Linked DNA regions of Arabidopsis thaliana. The protein of the gene in region 1 interacts with the protein of each later gene in a pairwise test. Each region holds a gene or a part of one and is shown on either strand. Other genes may lie near its edges.

Region 1 (5,410 bases):
ATCGAAGAATCAGAGTCTCACACACCGGAGGATCCAATGCCTGTGGCATAATAACATGATTCAACAATATTCTAATGATGTGTTATCAATCAAACTGAATTAGCTTTTCCCCAAAACATCGAGCATAGCTTAAGCAGATTTCATATGTGAGAGGTACACAAAAGCTGATGATGTAAGTTCTCTGCAAAGCCAAAGTTAATCGGATACCAAAAGTAATTCAAGACACATCGGAAAGTACTGTATTATATCGTTTTTTTTTCCTTGTTTTGGGGGAGAAGAAAGAAAGGTTCTCTAGTAAGACTCATGACATGTTGTACAGAGTCTATATTAACCTTCTCTTGAATTCAGACTCGTTTTTGTAGAATTTCAAGTATAATGCAAATTCCCTTTTGTTAATCTTTGTGTGTTTTCTTTTTTGGGAAAAATAAGTCTTTGAAAATTCCATAAAACTTGAAAGTTTGTTCAAATATTATTCGACTGATGGAATGAAATTCTGACGAAAACGAATGCACGAATCAGATATTTGATGTGAAATATGTGGAATTGACCAATTTGTCTGTTTACGTACACGTGTATAATAATTGACAAATTAAAGTAGGACACTCGTATGAAATATAAGTATGACCAACTGCATAAATAAGACGTGTAGATAATCCTTCCAACGGAAAATGTGATTATAAAGAAAACAAGTAATCAGAGTCTTGTAATTTTTGTTAATAATGTTGTTGTGAGCGACCATTTGAATTCAATCCGACATAAATCATGAAATGTTAGAGTTATACAAAAAAAAAAATCTCTCTTACCTGAAAAAAGAGTTATACAAAACAAAAAAGGAGTTAAATTATATATATTCTACAAAATTCTTTAACCTATATAATGTCAAGTATTTTTAAGACTTATTCAAGTAACTCCGTGTTAAACAAAAAAAAATCATTTAATTAAATGATTCATAATTCTATAAATATATATTTTTAAAATTATTAGATTTATCATATATTTTCTCAAAAACATAAACAGTCGTATATGTATAGGAGATATATAAATACAGAATGTATATTTTATGATAGTTATAATTCCGCTATAATTTTCTTATAACTAATATGTTATAACTTTATATATATAATCCATCCATAGAAACATCATTGACGAATAACACAATCAAGAGGAACCAAGTAAATTGCATAGCTTAAAAGAAAAGAAGAAAGAAAATTCTCTTAGCATATGATAAGTAATAAATCCCCTTTTATCATATGACAAGGGCAAGTTACCAAGCCCTAATGTTTAAACCGGCCATAGCATATGATAAATAATAAATCCCCTTTTATCAAAATTCAAGAAAAGAAAAAGAAAAAAATCTTTCGTTACTTCGAGACTAATACATATCCACACATTTCATATATGTATCCTATCTTACACGTATGTATATATATAAGAATATATATATATATATATATATATATATACACATATATATTCGTTATGATTACCCCAATCCAATAGACTATGTATGTGTCGTATCTCTATATACATCGATCATTGATGATGATGTTGATGATTAATTGATGATCATTTGGGAGATAAGCCATCAACGAGACACTGCATGACCTTGACCTGCATACTAAGGCACTTGATGTAATGAGCCGTCTCTTCCATCAGCTTTGACGTCTCCATTCCTCCGCCTCCCGGAACAAGATTCCTCAGCCTCTCCGCCGCCTCCTCCACCACCGGAGCTCTCTGGTTACTCCTCCTCCGTTTTGATGATATCTTCCACTTCCTCCTTGAAAATCTTACGATCTTGTTGTCATCTTTGTCTGCTCTACGCAAGAGGGCTCTGCTCCATAGCCGGCTACTCCCTCCGGCTGCTCTGGCCATGGAAACGTACGCAGCCTTCTTGATCTTCCTCACGCGGTAGTTTTTTTGGTCCGGAGTATCAAAAGGGTTTTGTTTTCTGAGATTTGAGAGGGATTGGAGGAAGTGGAAGGCAAAAACGTCCTTTTCAGGGACATCTGTGTTTATGAGTTTGTCTGCAGAGGCCATTGTTTGGGTTTTTTAGAGAAGAGAACTTGAGTTGAGAACCTTTATAAAACTTTTTTTTTTTTGAGAATGACACAATATTAGGGTTAATATAAATGGAAAGGTGGAGAGAGAGAGAGAGATAGAGAGGAATAAATAATGTTTATTTTTCCTTGTACTTAACTTTTCTTTATGTTTTTTTATGTCACAAGACACACAACTATTCAAATTCTCTATAAAGTTTAAATTTAAACTATAGGTTCAACTATTTATAACTCATGTTCTAAAAAAAAAAAGATGTGTTAATAGCTTTGAAATATTGAATTTTGGAGCTTAATTGGTCCGTCAAAGTTACGTTGCGTAAAAATATGAGAATATGAAGTTATAAGTGGCAGTTTTCTTCAATGGTGAACAGCAAATAAATACAGTTCTATGTTTAACTTTGGGGGTTTACTAATATTAGTTCAAATTTTTTGTAGATTCGTCTGTTATGGTTTAGTGGTTTGACATCGATTGCTTACTGGTGGCTACTTAGATGTGTAAATATATCATTATGTGTTAGAATTTTAAAATGAAATGTGAATTGTATAACCCATGTATTTCGGAAAAGTATAATTTACACCTAGTGTTATAAAGTCTTGAATAAATAAATGGGCAATTAGTGGAAAACGATGTTTTGGAGCTTGAAGAAAAAAGTTGATGCCAATAGATTAACAGAACTTGGCTATTTTGGGTATATATATTTGACTATTTTGAAATTTGAAATATTAATGTATACTACACCCAAATACAATATATATAGCATTAATGCTCGTATACATCTTAGCTAAAACAAAATAATAATTCGGATGATGTTTAAGTACTAGACGCAAATTAATCAAGCTCGTTTGGTTCATAGCTTGGTATTAACGGAAAAAAGAGCAATTTAGAGCAGACATCAGATTATGGAATTAGATTCCAACCACACTATTATGTTTATTTGTTTGTTTTTATAAAAGGTTAATTTAGTGACGAATGCGTATGAATTCATTAACGTGAACAGCTAATAGAGACTATTATGATAAAATTAGGTAAGCTATATACATATATGTATGTATTTATGTTAACATTAGTTGACAACTAATGACGATTAAGATGGAATATGATCGATTGTGGAAAACATATAAGCTCATTTTCAAGGCAAAAGAAATAACAAAACCCAAAATATCAATTTAATTGATTCATTACTTGCTCGATATTTACTTCCACAAACAAAATTCAGCCAAAATCCAACTCTCGTGAAACGACTGATTGAGGATGTTTATTCGAAACTGAGTTTGAACTATACGTTAGTTTAGAAAGTAACACCATTGAACCTGAGAATAACTATGATTATTTCGACGATATAAAGTGTTAATAAACTTAATCAATTAGCCACTCGCATCATCAAGATAAAACGTGTTTAAAATTGATCAGATATATAACAAAGTATTCACCATGCAAGAGAGCAACAACAAAATATGAGATTATTCAATTGGCTTGACCAATAGATGACGTTACAATTTATATACACCAAATATTACTAACCAATTTAGAAAAGACAACACATGAAAATATAAAAGAAGAGAAGAGAGACTTGAGGAATACGATAAGTGTTTGGTTAAGGCTATAATTTAGCATTAGTCCCATCTCTTTTGTGTTAATCACTCTCTCCCCTACCGCTTTGCCGCCGGACGTATTTTTCACGCCATTTAATTCTTTTGTATAACATCATCATGATCATATTTATCTTTTTTCAAGATTCAGCTCCAAAATCCCTTAAATCTCACTGTTTTCTCTAAGGTTTCAAATTTCACATCTATCATAAAAATACGTTTAAAGATTAACAATTTCGGGTCAATAACAATTTACAAAATTGTTGATATTAGGAGTGAAACCAAATGAATAAGAAGGTGTTAATCATATAATAAGAACTAAAAAAGAGTTGAAGAAGTGGTAGAGTAGGTCCACTAATGGGCCAACCACCACATGAAGGCACATGGCTATGGCCTTTACCCACCTCCACTTTCCTTTCTCTCTTATCTTTATCTTTAATTTTTTTTTGTTCTAATTATTCAATTAATATTAACTACACCATTCGTTTTCTTTGATTCTCTTCTTAATTTAATAATAAGTCGTTGGGGGCGAATAAACTTTATCATACTAGTTGATTAAAATATCCCAACTAAAAATGTAAAACAAAAACAAAAGAATAAATGCTATTGGTCATTTAGTAATAATGATTTACAAAATGTTGAAAATCAGAACGTGTGAAAAGCCACGTAAGCACTGACGCCTCTTTTGTTGTTAAAGAGGAAAAAAGAGTGTTTGGTTGTTTTATTACGTTATGTTCAAAATGAAGACGGCTGATTAAGCTTGACGTTACAACTGTCGGCGACTTTGCTCCGTAACTGTTGACGTGGCTCCGTTTTACTTTCTCCGGTGGATAACATGACGGCGCTCATTTTCTTTCATTTTTTATTTAAACCTCAAAGATAATTTATGCGATCGACGACGACGAGTCACGAAGCAAACCATGACTCAAGCATATATAGTGTTTGTAACTTTATGCAAAAGCATATATAATAAACTCATTGAAAATGTCTTATATAACAAAACCAGTTACGAATTACGATAGCCTAAATAGATGTTACAAATATCTTTAACTATGTTTGTTGTAGTACAGACATATTGTTCAAATATCATCATAGAGAAGTCCATGTAAAACGGATTGAAGATCAATTTTCGGTAATTTAAATTCTTAAAAGAGAAGACCATGTCATATTAAAATCGACAGTAGGAAAGATCTAATTAGTTAAACATATTCAGACTCTCGGTCTAAAATAATTATAGACCGTAAGTTACGCGTAACACAAAAACGATTTGGTTGGTTAATAAAACTGAGGAATAAAATAAACGGACAGAGACAAAAGGGTTGCACGTGGGATAAATTTAATGTACACATACGCATACACACGTACATGCAAATATTGAGTTAAAAAACAGAACCGTGAAATAGAAAAAGTGGGCCAATCTTGCCTATTGTTAGAGAGGCAAGATTTTAATACTCAAAACGAAGACCACTTCCTAATTAACTATCTCTTTTAATTATTTTCATATGTTAAGCTTTCAATTATTTATCACTATTCTTCAATTATTCATATCGATCTTTTCACTCTGAATTCATTATTCATAACATAGTTGGCCACAGTAAATGTCTTAAGTACGTTTTTATTTCTTTGGAAATTGTGGTTATGAAAAATGATATACAAATTAATCCGCATCATACATATTTTTGATAAATTTTCAAGGCTCAATAGAGTTTTCCGGAAAACTCATCAAAGACATGCATGCATCTAGCATATTGGCACAGTGTCGA
Region 2 (5,754 bases), on another chromosome or scaffold:
CTTCCTGAGAAATTTAAGTGCACGCTTTCTCGTACCGTGATGTATGATCCAGTCATCATCTCCTCAGGCAACACCTTTGAGAGGATGCAGATTCAGAAATGGTTCGATGAAGGTAATGATTCTTGTCCTATATCTAAAAGGAAACTGGATGACTTCACATTGAAGCCTAATGTAGAGCTTAAGAGTCAGATATCAGAATGGTGCGCGAAGAACGGTCTTGATGTTCAAGATCCAGCGAGGAAGCACGTAAAGGCTTCCAACAGTATCGACTTCTCTGTTTCCATCGCTAGTTTCGGAAGTTCTCTGTACAACATCCCTGATCACAGCGGCATTTCGATTACGGATTTCAACTCGAGCTATTCCATTGATTCGTCATCCTACTCTAAGATGTCAAAGGGTGGTTACTTCACTCCAATGCAGAGGATAGATTCTGCTTCAGGCGCTGGTGACACAGATTCTAGTCACAGCGAGATTGAGATAGATCCCTTGTGTGGACTCACAAACCTTCCATGGGATGCGCAGATCAAAGTCGTCGAAGATGTAAGAAGTCGTTTTGAGCACAGTACTCGTGCTTTTCGGTCTATGTCACCGAGTAAATTTCTTGAGCCACTTATCACATATTTGAAGAATGCTCTCGAAAGAAATGGCACCGCTGGAGAGATAATAAAGGGTGGATTGGATTTGTTGCTGGCTTTCCTTAGTGGAAATAGGAGAGCTATAGAATCTTTGGAAGAAGAGGTTTTCAAAATGTTCTCAGTCTTTCTTGAGTCTGAGGTAGTAGCTGAAGAAGCTCTAAACATACTTGAGGTTCTGTCAAACCATCCGCACGGTCCGTCCAAGATAACTTCATCAGGATCTCTTTCTTCCCTTTTGAAGATCGTAGAGTCCCAAGCAGAACATCTCCAAGAACAGGCTATGATCACACTCAAGAATCTTTCATCAAGCATGGAGATTTGTCTGGAAATGGTATCTCTCGATTTCATCCAGAAGCTCACATCTTTCTTGCAACAAAAAGTTTTCTGCAAACACTCGATTATCATTCTGAAAAACCTCTGCAGCACCGAGAAAGGTCGGGGTTGTATCACCGAAACCCCGGATTGTTTAGCTTCCATAGCTGAATTACTCGAGTCAAATGTTCCCGAGGAGCAAGAGAACGCAATCTCCATCCTCCTTCAGCTCTGTGTGCAGAAGATAGAGTATTGCTGTCTTGTCGTGAGAGAAGCAACTGATATTTACTCATCTCTAATCTTGATATCCAACAATGGAACAGAGGAAGTAAAGGTGAGTGCATCAGAATTACTTAGAGCTCTTGTAGAAGTAGATTCCGACAAAGAAGAAGAAGAAGAAGTTTCCTCCAGACCAGAAGGAAGAACAACTGCTTCGCCTACTTCACAGGTTGTTACTCCAGTTACTCATCCGGAACCTGTTAAAATAACACCATCTCCCAAGAAATCTGGTCTTTTTGGATTCAATTTCTCCAGTCTCAAGAAGAAGAAAAAATAGAAAGAAGCATAAGATACATTATTAGGCTGGATTTAACTTAATTTTTGAGAAATTTTTTTGATTTTTTTTTTGGCTCTCTGTTTGTTGGCTTAGGTTTGTATATGTTGATACCAGGCCAAAAGGCATCTCCATTAATACAAGTGTAGTTGTAATTTGTGAAGGAAATAATTGTTACGACCACAAGAGTTTGATTCTACAATGTACAAAAAAAGGAATTGCTATGACCACAAGAGTTTTTTCTCTTTCTTCTACACATATACATATCCCCTGGAATATATGTAAATCACTATATTTGTATGAAGATAATAGATTGAGAAAGATCTTTGGATTGGTTTCCTCTGTCTCTTTTGGTTCAAATTTCAGATAAGATAGATAAATGGATAAGACAACAACAAAAAACCGCGATTTTTTTAATGAGGCTATCCCTAATTTTTTTACTTGAGGCTGAAGAAATTGGAAACAGAATCGGTTCTCAAGCTGTTGTAAAGACACTGTGAGTGAGTTTCCCAGCTTGATGATGTATGATCTTTCTGCAAAACAGAATAAGAAATAAGTTACTTCACGGACAAGTAACAAAAAATTGGGACTAATGAAAGATTTGTCTGAGATAAAGATTATTACAGCGCCGAGAGATGTGGTGTGGTCTGAGTTTATGACTGAGTAATCTAAAGATCCTTGCTGATGTAATGGAAAAGACCGAAAATCCGCCATGATTGACTGCTTCGAGTCACCTTCTGGAGGACCTGTGAAGTAAGCCTGAAACTAGATTCCAATATTTAACCAGTCAATAAATGCGGTAATTAAACTCTTGGTTAGTTCTTGGGATGAAAACTGACTATTATTCACCTGTTTTGCGGATAAATCATCGATATGACACTCAAGTTCTGGATTTATGACAGAGAGTTTCATCGACAAGAACTCGACTTGTTGTTGCAGAGATTGGACATAGTTGATGATCTCATCAAGCATACCAGCTTTTCCAGTAACTTTGTTGCATCCAGGAACAATATCTTGTAGACATTTCATCTTCTTGCTTATCTTTTCTCTTCTTGCCTGCCAAAATCCCACAAATATAAAACCACTCAAATCTCTAATGAAAGTAATTTCTCTGAAACCTATTTAACAACAACACTTTAGTTAATTACCCTCTCTGCTAAGCTATGTCTGTCGGTGGCTTCACCTCGTCTAGCCCTAACATGAATGTAATCTGGTTTCTGAATTTCTGAAGATGTCTCTGTGTTACTCATGTTTGATTTCCCTTTCATGCTTGGCTCTGTTTCATCCTCTGCTTTGATCTTCTTCTTCTCTCTCTTTTCTGTCTTACCCTAAAACCAATAGTTAAAACGATCAGAAACAATGTTTCAAACAAAATCTAAACTCTAATACTCAATACTTTCTTGAGCTACAAACCTCTGGTTTTCTCTTGTTCTGCAAGGTAATGGCTCTGCTGTGTCCATTATTCTTCACTGGCTCCATATGGAAGCTACTTGTCCTAGAAATGCAGCCATCAGTAGTATCATAATCCGGTCCGAATTCGGGAAAATGTCTGAAACTCTGCAGCTCATCATTGTTGTTTCCCAAGTAACTCTCAACTCTTTTGAGCTCTTCTCTCCCATCTGAGCCAAGTATCTGAAGAAACTCAGGTGAAACCATTTGTTGCTGTTGCAGCCACTTAAGCCTATCAAGTACAGACAAGTCCATGAAGAGAAGGTAAAAAAAAAACTTTAAAAGGCTCTTATCTTTTCTTTGAGGGGGTTAAAGCAAAAGAGAAAAAGAGAGAGTTAAGTTATATATGTGTGGAAGAAAAGTAATCCATTAGATATAATTATTCTTAGCTTTAAATAGAAAGCAACATTGACCCACACACATGAGATTCGAAATCTAGTGAGAGAGGGACAAAATTGATAAAAGTGGAGGAGGTTGGGGACAAAGAAGGTGAGATGAGAAGTTGTGGGGTCTAATTGACATAACCTACCATGTGGTCATGTCCTTATGAACATGAGATGAGGAGTCTCTTAAGTTAGTCTCTTTTGTGTCTTTTCTCTGTGTTTTTTTTTTTCCTTTTGGCCTTTCAAGTTTTTGAGAGGATCTTTTTGTTTGGCAACAATAATCAAACTTTGTAAAACTTAAGGTTCATGAGGGTATTATCATATAAATATCCTCTTTTGTAAAATCAAATCATTGAGTTTTTGGTAAGACAACCTTCTAATTGTACCAATTTGTTTTGTTAGAGAGAGAGAGAGAGAGGGTCTTTCTTAGGCTTGAAGGTGGAGAATGTGGGGAATGTGAATTATGAATCTTAACTTGCAAATGAATAGAAACAATGGTTTGAATCATGAGTGATATCATTTCAATGTCTTGTTGTGAATCTATACGTGATCCTTGTGACGTATGATTACTACCCTTCATCAATCCATAGATTACACCAATAATTTAAGTGGATTTCATATATTAGAGAGATGGCAACTCGATGAATATATGACATATTATAATATCACATATTATAATTCATAACTGATAGGGACACAAAATAAGCGACCTAAAGAAGAAAATGGGTTTGAAGATAAGTGATAGGAAGGTAGGCGACACCATTGCTTTTGATCTAAGTGTTTGGTCCCTATACTTTCTTTTTTTCCCTATTAATTATATATCTATACATTATCTATAATGCGTGACATAATTCAAGAGAATCAATACTATTTCGATTTTTTTTTTTTGAAGAACTTGAAAAAATATATCCAAAATTAGACCGATTTCAATAACACACCGTACAGGTTGCTTTGAGGTTTCCATTTCATTGGTTCTTTGGGAAACATCAATAACAAGCTGCTTATGAGATGAGAAGAGTAAATGCTTCAAATGCCAAAATACTTAACGTTGAGAGTATCTGTTGTTTTTTGCAATTTCCACAAAAAAGTTTTAGAAAGTTTTTGATTCAATGGGTTTCAGGATGTATTCTTTTGTAAAGAAGTTTGTGTCAATGCATTCATGTTGCAATTAGGCATTTTGTCGAATCACGAAAACGGAAGGAACACTCGTATTCGTCACATCAAAGTATAAGGCCCTAGATCGTGTGTATCACGTCTCTAATTTGCTTACTTACAAAACTGTGTTGTTTGCTCTTTTCACTAATGATGGATCTATGTGATAACAGGAATCACATTCCACGTCAATTATTTCTGTTTACTTCAAAAGAATGTCACACCTATGCAACAGTGAGACAAGATCTGAGGAAGAGAGTTAGAGAACATGAAATTTAAGAAAGAGTGCTTCAATATCTTGTTGTGTACAAATCAATAGTTCTGTTTGATAATATCAACTTGACAGCTTTTGTCAAAATGATGAGTAAAAAATCAGGATCTTTGGGACAAATACGGCTGAACCGGCCGGTTTAGCTAAGTCGAAATTACCGGCCTAATCGTTAAACCATAAAAACCGCAACTTTCAGAAACACTCTGCTTCGTCGAGCGGATTCGACTTGTCTGGCTCAGGGGTCGCCACAACTCTCCCGCAAGTTCACACATACACTCGGTGCTCAAAAAGTTTGTCCTTTTTGCATCTCTCAGTTCTGAAATATCTGGTTCTCTTGTCCTTGAAAATTTTACGAGGTTGTTCTCTGTGAATAATCGATGTCTGCTTCATGTGCTTTAACACCGTCTGTTAGGACAGAGTTATTCAGTTCATCATCATCTAAAAGATCAATCTTTCCTGCTAGAATTTGTCGACCAAGTAAGATTCAACTCCAACCTTTCATTTAGATGTGCCCCTAAGCCTGAATTATGAACAATCTGTTTAATCTTTGCAATGAAGGAAACAAATGTGAAATCAGCAGAAGGGATTTTGCAATTAGGGGAGGGATTGTTGCTTCTGGAGTTTCAGTCATGGATACTTCTTCTGCTTCTTCTCAGTCTGTTCAAGGTAAAAAAAAACTAGCTTTGGAACTATTGCTTCTCTCTTGGTCTAAAAATGTCATCTTTGTTAAAAAGAATTTGGATGATTCTTTAGGTAGTGAGAGGTTGGCTTTTAAACCAGAAGGCTATAACTTTTGGGAATGGAGAGGTCACAAGATTCATTATGTTGTTCAAGGAGAAGGCTCGCCTCTAGTTCTTATTCATGGTTTTGGTGCTTCTGTCTTTCATTGGAGGTACCTTCAATCTCACCTCCATGCTCTATTGATCAGTGTAGGCTTTAAGTCAACTTTTTACCTTATCATACGAATTCGAGCTAATATCGGTAGATTTTTATAGGTAT

Evidence for each region. Proteins that work in one complex are often made in the same cells at the same time.
Region 2: the proteins of IBH1 (region 1) and BEE2 interact in binary tests that used the Arabidopsis thaliana proteins (3 or more experiments, as listed by UniProt).

What each region holds. Positions count from the first base shown.
Region 1 is NC_003071.7:17,905,874-17,911,283, reverse strand, and holds IBH1 (ILI1 binding bHLH 1), read right to left. Parts: upstream 2,278-5,410; 5' UTR 2,038-2,277; coding exon 1,567-2,037; 3' UTR 1,074-1,566; downstream 1-1,073. Other genes in the region: SPPL3 (SIGNAL PEPTIDE PEPTIDASE-LIKE 3), read left to right, coding at 1-51.
Region 2 is NC_003075.7:17,241,149-17,246,902, reverse strand, and holds BEE2 (BR enhanced expression 2), read right to left. Parts: upstream 3,321-5,754; 5' UTR 3,205-3,320; coding exon 2,914-3,204; intron 2,829-2,913; coding exon 2,649-2,828; intron 2,557-2,648; coding exon 2,350-2,556; intron 2,266-2,349; coding exon 2,125-2,265; intron 2,034-2,124; coding exon 1,938-2,033; 3' UTR 1,607-1,937; downstream 1-1,606. Other genes in the region: AT4G36550 (ARM repeat superfamily protein), read left to right, coding at 1-1,503; AT4G36530 (alpha/beta-Hydrolases superfamily protein), read left to right, coding at 5,133-5,232, 5,314-5,421, 5,509-5,647, 5,751-5,754. UniProt on the Arabidopsis thaliana protein: Positive regulator of brassinosteroid signaling.